2 linked regions of the Sus scrofa genome follow. The protein of the gene in region 2 interacts with the protein of the main gene of each other region in a biochemical or structural test. Links are inferred from orthologs where the notes say so. Each region holds a gene or a part of one and is shown on either strand. Other genes may lie near its edges.

What was found.
Region 1: of the proteins of TLK2 (region 2) and ASF1B, one has a biochemical effect on the other in vitro, tested with the Homo sapiens proteins (3 studies listed by BioGRID). The link is inferred for Sus scrofa from reciprocal best matches to the Homo sapiens genes TLK2 and ASF1B.

The regions. Positions count from the first base shown.
Region 1 is NC_010444.4:65,061,622-65,066,124, forward strand, and holds the start of ASF1B (histone chaperone ASF1B), read left to right. Parts: upstream 1-1,564; 5' UTR 1,565-1,655; coding exon 1,656-1,764; intron 1,765-4,503. UniProt on the Homo sapiens protein: Histone chaperone that facilitates histone deposition and histone exchange and removal during nucleosome assembly and disassembly. Cooperates with chromatin assembly factor 1 (CAF-1) to promote replication-dependent chromatin assembly.
Region 2 is NC_010454.4:16,253,731-16,258,269, forward strand, and holds the start of TLK2 (serine/threonine-protein kinase tousled-like 2), read right to left. Parts: upstream 2,913-4,539; 5' UTR 2,538-2,912; exon of another isoform or gene 2,246-2,537; coding exon of another isoform or gene 1,289-2,245; intron 1,117-1,288; exon of another isoform or gene 1,014-1,116; intron 1-1,013. Other genes in the region: uncharacterized protein LOC110256160, read left to right, coding at 1,289-2,245. UniProt on the Homo sapiens protein: Serine/threonine-protein kinase involved in the process of chromatin assembly and probably also DNA replication, transcription, repair, and chromosome segregation. Phosphorylates the chromatin assembly factors ASF1A and ASF1B.

The sequences.
Region 1 (4,503 bases), on a different chromosome or scaffold from region 2:
TGGCTACAGCTCCGATTAGACCCCTAGCCTGGGAACCTCCATATACCGCGGGAGTGGCCCAAGAAATAGCAAAAAAAAAAGACAAAAAAAAAAAATACAATTAAAAAAATAAATAAAACCGACATGAGATCTAACTCATGGGAAACTTTTAAGCTTGCTGGGAACAGCGTGGGCATATGAGTCTACAATACAGCTGTAAATTTTATGAAATCTAAGCTAATTTTCAGTGAAAATGTAGCGTCCAGATCACAGACGTGTTGTTAAGTAAAATAAAGGATTTCAACAGCTTCGTGCTGAGTAACAAAATGTAAGCTACCTGTGTTGTATTTTTTAATACTGAACATATGCTGAAAAGGTGTTTCAGCTAAATTTTAATATATTTAAGAGTATGTTAAAATTAACTTTTTAAACTTTTTTAAAAAACGTGGTTAACTTCAGAAAAGTGTAAAACTAGGTGCGCTGTCACAGGTGGAAGCAGGGAGTGAGTGCGGATGTCCCTACAGTCTTCCAGACAGGGGGCGACGGCGCTCCAGCCCCAGTGTGGGAGTAAAGTTTCTAGATGTATTATGCAGTCATAAATCCTGCCAGTAAATTTTCATGACCCTGTTCAACGCGCGGGGAAGGGTGGCCTCGAGAGGTAAGTGGAAGAGGCCGGACTCGAACTCTCATTTACAGCGTGTCTACCTGAAACCTCCCCAGAGGCTCTCGAAGGGGAAAAAGCCGGATTCGAACCAAGCCCGACTCCCGCGACCCAGGCCCCCGTGAGCCCCGTTACTGTCACACCGTCTCCCTTCAGGGATGGGTTAAACGTTCACAACGTTCACAACGGACTCCCGGGCCGCTGGGCCTGAAGGGCCAGGAGACCCATAGAGAAACTTCCGGCAACGCTCACCTGCTGAGACTCCAGAGCCGCAAACGCTCTTCCTTTCTCTTCTTACACCCCGCTCAACAGCGCCGGCAGTCGACTTCCGCTCCACTCCTACGAATCCCCCACCGAGTCTTATTTCCTCCCGCCCCCCAAGGTCAACTCAGCCAATAAACTCTCAGAGAATCGGCTTTATTCCCGCCCCACCCCTGCCTGCCAATCACCGCAGGTCAAGCACCGCCCTTCCCGCACTTTAAGAGGGGATTTGGCGAGCGCCGCGCGCCACCAATTGACGGTTGGCGGCGCTGCCCGCGGCTGGAAGCACCTCCCGGAAGGGCGGGGCTAAGTCCGGACAGCGCTAGTGCGGGGACCCTCGGGATTGGCCAAGAAGAGCCCTGCGTTTTGACCCCGCCCACCCCGCCCTTGACATTCGAGTCGGAGACTCTAGGGATTGGTTCCCGGCGGACTCCCAAAGAAGCCAAGAGACTGTCCCGCCTCCCTCCCGCATCCAGAAGAGGGAGCTCCACCGATTGGTCTCGGGAGTCTCGGCGCTTGCCTACCGACGCTCCAGGATTGGCTGGGGGGGCGCTCGCGCCGCCAGGGAGCGTTGACGGTGATTGGCTGGAGGGTGGGGCCGGCTATTTGAAGGAGGCGCGCGAAGAAGATTAGCTCTTCAGACCGCGATCGGAGGAGGCGCGAGCAGTTTTGGGTAACGCTGTTCTGCTGACCTGACAAGACCCAAACGTAGTCTTGGCCCCAGCTCTGGCTTCAGCCTCGGCCCGACGAGGCAATGGCTAAGGTGTCGGTGCTGAACGTGGCTGTTCTGGAGAATCCGAGCCCTTTCCACAGCCCCTTCCGGTTCGAGATCAGCTTCGAGTGCAATGAGGCCCTGACGGACGGTGAGACTGGGCCTGCGTGGAGCGACCCCCCTCCCCTGGGCCGCCCCGACCCTCCCCTTGGAGACAACCCTGTGAAACACCCCCTCTCCCCCAAATCTGATTTCCCGTAAACCAACACCCACCCCCAGCCTTAACCTCCCCTTTGGGAAACTACCCCTTCACCGTACCCCTATGGTTACTCGCGTTTTCCCCCGTGAAAACCTCATTATCCCCCTCTTTTTCCTGTAGCTCTCCTCTTGGGTACCCGTTTTCTAGGTAGAGACCGTCAGCCACCCTGACTTTCCTGTAGCAAGAGACTGCCCCTACCTACCTACTATTTAGGGGCAAGCCGCCATTCCAGCCATTCAGTCCTCCCCACCAAAAGGCTGTCCCCTGTGGTGAGGCACTCCCATCTCACTTTTTTCCTATGGAAACCCCAACCTCCAGCCCCCTCGAATTTCTCCTATGGAAATCCAAGCCCCCTCCCAATTTCCCTATGGAAACCTCAGCACCCTCCCATTTTCCTTATGGAAACCCCAGCTCCCGCCCCTTTCCTATATGGCAACTTCAGCCCCCTGTTCCATTTTCCCAATGAAGACCCTCTCCCCCTGTGACAAGACCTCACTCACCCCCATCTTCCCATCTGTCTTCCCATAATCTCCTCCCTGCTTGCTGATGCTCTACCTGGGGAAGCATGGCCAAACAAGCATAAGTTGGTTCTTACCATTTGCCTGCCAGATTCCTGCTGACTTACTGTAGCAATTCTCCCCCACTTTTGATGGTCTGACCTAATCTGGAGGGTGGGTATGCCAGGCTGAGCCATGAAGGTATCTGGCTTCAATCAGCTCAGAGGTCACAACCTTTTGTGCATCTTTTTCAAGGCGCTTTTATAGATGTACTTATTCATCTGTGTGACAAAGGTGGACATGACTCTCATCTCACAGATGAGAGCATGGGATCCACAAAGAGTAAAACACCTTTTTTGTACTTCTATAAAAATCAAAAAAAAATCTAAGGTCATTCAGAGAGTTTTGGCACCACTTTCGGGAGAAAGTACTCCATTAGACCTCTTCTCCACTTAGTGGTTAAGAGGCAGCGGCTAAGGAGGTGGAGATCTGTGAGGCCAGGGTGTGCTAACTAGCACCTCTCAGTGGTAGGTGTGTGCTTTGCATGCAAATTAGCCACTTGGTCTAGCCTGGAGTTGATAACCCTTTTGATATATGTGTGTGTGTGTGCTTAGACTGGGCCAATGGATCAATCTTCCCTGTTTCTCTCCTTTCTAAATTAAGGAATCTACTTGTGACTATAGTATAAGCCCAGTTAAATCCTTTCTGGAACAAGACAGTGTAAATAAATAAAGTGAAGAATCACCCTGTGGAATAAGATTTCATTTTAAAGCTAGGAGGAGATGTAAGGAGCTAATAGGTTAAGGGATTCACAGAGCCAGATGGCAGAAGATTGAGTTTCAGTATGTCTGTTTGTGATCCTCGGGGTTAAACATGGTTGCATGGTCATTATCTAGTACATTTACTCCTACAAAGTTCCTCTCCTGTTACTTTACTAATCTGTTACTAGAATCAGCACAGGAAAGGCTAAAGTCAACCTGCTGATCATTATCTTTCTTTTTTTTTTTTCTTTTTTAGGACTGCACCCACAGCATATGAAGGTTCCTAAGCTATGGGTCAAATTGGAGCTACAGCTGCCGGCCTACACCACAGCCACAGCAACGATGGATCCAAGCCTCATCTGCGACCTACACCACAGCTCACGGCAACGCCAGATCCTTAACCCACTGAGCTCAGCCAGGGATCAAACCAGCAACCTCATGGTTACTAGTCAGCTTCATTAACCACTGAGCCACACTGGGATCCCCGGTCATTATCTTTTAATAGAGAGAAATGGAATGATTTCTCCAAGGTCACATAGCCAGTTTGTAGAATTATTGACACTAGGTCTTGTCTCTGAGTTCTTTGTCCAAAGTTCTTTATCTTTCTGTAACCAGGGAAAGGCCTCTCCTGTGGAATGTAAATAGGACTGACCATAGATTTTATTTCCACATGAAAACACTGTCAAAAGAGGGAAAGGTGGTGCTATTATTAATTATACCTGGACAGTGAAGCTTTTGCTCAGAGAAATTCCAGTTAGAAAACCTGGAAATGTAGAGTCTTTTGTTGTACCTCTAGGGCTATCCTTGACTCTGACCTGCCAACTTGCTTTCTGCCTCTTCCCACAGAGCAGAGAGAATTTGTTTCCTGCCTCCCAAACAGATGGAGTGGGTCTGGCTTTAGAATTCTCTCAGATCCTGGAGAAATCTCAGTCTTGTTTCCTAGTGACTTCAGATACTGGTAACTGAAGATTTGAACACTCAGCCCCCAGTCTGACCCATTTCTCAAGGGCTCTGAACCTCTTTTGCTCTCTCTTCTTCTTAGCATCTGGAAATAGATGTTTGCAAATCATGAGTCCACATTCAATACATTAGATGTGTTTTTCCCCTATTTAATTGAGAAATTCAACGGATGCTGCTTGAATAAGTCTTAGAGCCAGATGTTCTGACCCACACTTAACATGCTATAGACAAGCCAAGGTTCATATGTATGATTATAAATAAAGGGAAAATGATAAACAGAAAAAGCCCTATTGGTTAAGTTGGTTTTGTTTTTTAATTTTTGGCTTCACCCATGGCATGTGGAGGTTCCCAGGCCAGGGATCGAACCTGCACCACAGCAGTGATAATGCTGCATCCTTAACCATCAGGGAACT
Region 2 (4,539 bases):
TCCTTCCTCTGAGGAGCCCACAGTTGCTCATGAAAAAGGGAATTAATTATTCCAAATTTAATAGAGATCCCATGGTAAAACCATAACCTGCATTCACTCAGGAAATTAGTGTAGCTTCATAACCATCCCTTTACAAAATGTGCCACTCCCTGGAGCAGTAGGTTTCTCTAGACATCTGCTTTTAGCACTCCTTCCAAGCAGGGAGGGGCAGAAGGACACCATTTTTAAACTCCTTCCATGACCAATTAATGCACAGGCTAACTCTCAGCAAATACCTCCATCGTTTGCAAGAGATCAACTCCTGCGGAACCCATTGGAAACCTTTCTAATGTTAAAAGTGGAAAAGGAGCATATACCATTACATAGAACCCCTCCGAACATATCATTAGCTACTGGAATGACTGGCATGATAGAAAAGTTCCCTGAAAACATGAATTCAACATTCTCCTCTGCAATCTAACAACTCCACAATTTCCAGTAACAACCCCTACAAAGTCCTCCAGTTTCATTTCCCTTCCTGGATTGAGAGCCTGGGGCAAAGGGGAATGAAAAGGGTAGCAAATTAAAGTTTCACCCACACAAACAAGTGCAGATTAGAGAGAGAATAAGGAAATTTTCGGAAGGGTAAAAAGGCATCTTTAAAAAGAAAAACAAAAAGAAAAAGGAAAGAAAAAAAGGAGATTCAAAGTGTTTCCCCTAAGTGGCCTTCCGAGTCTCGCCCTGCCCTAATCGAGGCCGGAATGGCAGAGGTTGAAGCCTCCCTCAAGCCCCAGGGTCTCTCGGCACATTTCCTAAACCTCCATCCCCAGGCCTGGCCCGGAAAATGACGCCCCAGCGGTTATTCCATTTAATGTCAACTCATGTTAAGGAAAGATCCACACTGTCTCATTCCAGCGGGGCCTTGGACTGGAATCCTCCCTGCAGCCCACAGCCGAGAAGCAGGGCCGATGGGGCCTGGTCCCGGCGCCCCTCGCCTCCCGCCGGTTCCAAACTTTCCCCAACTCCAGGCCCACCTGTCACGGAGGGAGGGCGGGCCAGCTCTCGGGGGCGCCCGGGAGGCTGCCGGGGCCTCCAGCTGCCGGGGCGCCCCCCTCTTCCCGCCGGCCGCCGGCCCCACTCCCAGGCCGGGGCCGCTTGGGCCTCCCCCATCTTCGGCCCGGCCCCTCGGCGACCCGCAGCCCTCGGGAAGCCCCTCCCGCCTCCGCGCCGAGAAGCTGCGGCCCGGCGCCGGCCCTCGGGTGGGCCTGGGCCGCAACCTCCTCAGCCGAGGGGGTCGCCCGGACGGTTAATGCCTCAGGCCTGGCGCCCTCCCCCGCCCGGGGCTCAGCCTCTCACCTGCCGCCGCCGCCGCCGCCGCTCCACGCTCCTCCCGGGAGGGGCCCCGACCCGACCCGGCTGCGGACCGCTCTGCACTCCCCCTGGGCAGGCCCGGGGCGGAGCCGGGGCCTCTCCTGAGCGCCGCAACCCCCCGCCCGGGCAGCCGCCGCCGGCGCCGGGCTCCACGAGAGGGCGGGCGGGGGAGGGGGGCCTCGGAGGCCGCAGATCCCCGGGCTCGCGTACAGAGCCAGGCGCCCGACGCGGGCCCGGGCCCGGGAGGCCGCGGGGGGCGCGGGACCGGCCTCCTGGCGCCGGACAAAGGCCAAGGGAGGCGCAGAAGAGCCCAGGCCCGGTCGGGAGGTGGGGGCCCGCTCGACTAGGGGCCACTCGGGTGCGGCGTGGAGGGCGGGGGGGTCGGAACCGCTGGTGCCCAAGACCCGCCTCCGGCCCCTTAATCCGGATCGGTTCGGTCCGGATTAGTAGTGATCGGTGTAAACACACTAGTGAAACCGCGTGTTTCCTCGCGAGATTTGCACGGCTGGGAGGCGGGGGGGTCCTGGGGGGGTGGGGGAAGCGCCGACAGTGGGGGAGGAGGGGGAGGGGAAGAGGAAGGTGGGGGGGGTCCCCGCTGCCCCGGCGCCCCGCCTCCTCCAATCAGCGGCCGGGTTGGCGGGCAGGGGTTAACCAGGGGACCCCGCGCCGGCAGAGGAGGCCGCTGCCTCGCCGGGCGGCTGAGGGCGGGCAGGCAAGCGCTCCAGCCAGAGTGGCTGCGACGCGAGGGGAGTCGGACCGGCCCGGGCCGGAGTCCCAGAGCCCCCGCCGCCGTTTTCGTAAGGTCGGCCCCCGCCCCGCGGAACTGGCCCCAGTCGAGGCGGGTGGGCCGGCACCCTGGGTCGCGGACCGGCGTGGGAGGGCCCTCGCCGCCTGAGCTGGTTGCTTCCCCGACCCGCCTCCCAGAGCCCGGCGTCCGCCTAATCCCTGGTCTCCACGAGTTTGGGTGAGAAGCGGGGTTGCTCTGCCCAGGATGGATTTTAGAGGAAGAAAGCCCATGAGCCAGCAAACCCCGCCCGAACTTCCCCGGAGACGCCCAGTTAGTGAGTTGGCTGTGCCCACCGGTGTTGCCTAGCTCCCACGCCCCGCCGCTCTCCAACCCCACAGTCCTGCTCCCCAAACCCACATATGCCGCCATCGACAGCGGACAGCGTTTCCCCTCCACGTACCTGGTTGGCTGGACGTCTCCAGGGACTAGAGGTGCCCTGGGATCAAGGCTGAGCCCCCACCCCCACCAGGATGCGGCCCTGCGGAAGGGGGGGCGCTGCCCCAAAGGGACTCTCTCCGTACGCCCTGGGGGAGGTTCCATTTCAACCTCTGATTAAAAACAAGGCCCTCCTGGGTACTAAGGGGCTCTAAGGGGAAGTGCTAGGTTGGAGAAAACAGGCCTGCCCCTCACAGTGTCTTCTGAGGAATGGGCAGTGTGAAAGGGCGCAGGAGCTGCGGCAGCCAGAAGGCTTTCTGCACTGGAAAAGGCTCCCACTCTGATCACCCAGCACTAGAGGAAAGAAATCACATTCACCGATTGTATATGAGCCGGGACACTGACTTCAAGGCAAATACCCAACTTTTTATTCTCCTCTGATGCTTCCTTAATCTGAAGATGAGTTAAGGACTACAAGCGAATCACAAGCGGAAAATTCAGATAATGAACAAGAGCCTTGAACTTTTCTGGGGGGTAGGCAAGTACTTCAAGTGAAGTACCTGTTTCTGCCTTTTTTTCTTCCTTATTCTTAATTCTGTCCATTCTGTGTTAATGGAACACAGACCTACTGAAAGGGCAAAGGATGGCAGTTTATTTTTTGTTAGTTGTCCAGCCTTCCAAGCCCTTGGGCAAATTCAAGGACTATGGAAACACCACTCAACCAAGAGTCACCTTGCTTCAAATCCCACGGCCAGGTTGGGCCGTGCACACACATATTTCCAAAGATAACAGTGTTTGCAAGGGAGGGGGAGTGCAAGCTCCAGGCAGAGGGAAGGAGGAGGACAGCCTGGTGGACAACTATCGAGAGCAGGAGAACCAAGAAGTAGAGAGTGCACCTTCCCTTACCCTTGCTTACACAAAAAGAAAAGCAAGTGAGGCAAGTTCTGCCCTATGGTGAGTGATGAAGAAAGTAACTCCTTTGTAAAGTAAAATGACACTGGAATGTTTCAAATGAGGAGAGAAGAGTTTAAGAGAACACTGGACAGAGTCAGAGCAGAGTTCCAGCCCAGCTTCTCCTCAGACAAGCTACTTGGTCCCGTTACCTACACTTTTCAAGCTTCACCAACCTCATCTATGAAGGAGTTTGGACTAGAGGATTTGAAACTCCTTTGTGGGTCTAAAAGGCTATGATTCCACCTCCCACCCCCCATTTTTTGAAATAACTTTAAAAAATAAATCATTGGAATACAGGAAAAGATGAGATTTTAAGTTTCACTTTGTCCAATGCATTCTTCTCTGCATGTCAGAGAACTTACGCTGTCATAGGTCTGACCACAGCCCGACTCCAGACTTAACTCATCCCAATTGGAATTGCTCATAGGAATTTAATGAATTTGCTTACCACAAAAATGGAGTGCTTCTATTTATGAGCATTCTATAAGTGAAAATATCAAAGTGAGGGGAAAAAACAATGGATAATTTCAAAATAAACTGTTACTGTCAGATGGTTCTTTTCACAAAGTGATTTAAACTTGGATTCATGAACCAACTCATTTAAAGTGTGTTTGGTCACGGGGCAACTTTGTGAGACTCAGCTGGTCATGGACTGGCAAATGGTGACATTTACCATGCAAAGGCCCAGTTCCCTTCAGAGAGCTCAAAGGCGGATTCATCTAGAAGATGTGCACGCTGATCATCTGGTCCTCTCTGCCTTCAGGGTAGCGAATGACAAGTCCTCCAGGCTCATGTTTGTAGTCACAGAGCAGACCAGGGAGCCGGCCAGACATGCCTCAGACTAGTTCTGGTGTCCCCAAGCTGTTCTCTGCAGGTCACAGTAGGTCACAGGCTGGAGTTCCCTTCATGGCTCAACGGTTAACGAACCCACATCGAAGTTACAGCTGCCGGCCTACACCACAGCCACAGCAATGCAGGATCCAAGCCACATCTTCGACCTACACCACAGCTCACAGCAGCGCTGGATCCTTAACCCACTGAGCAAGCCCAGGGATTGAACCTGAGTCCTCAGG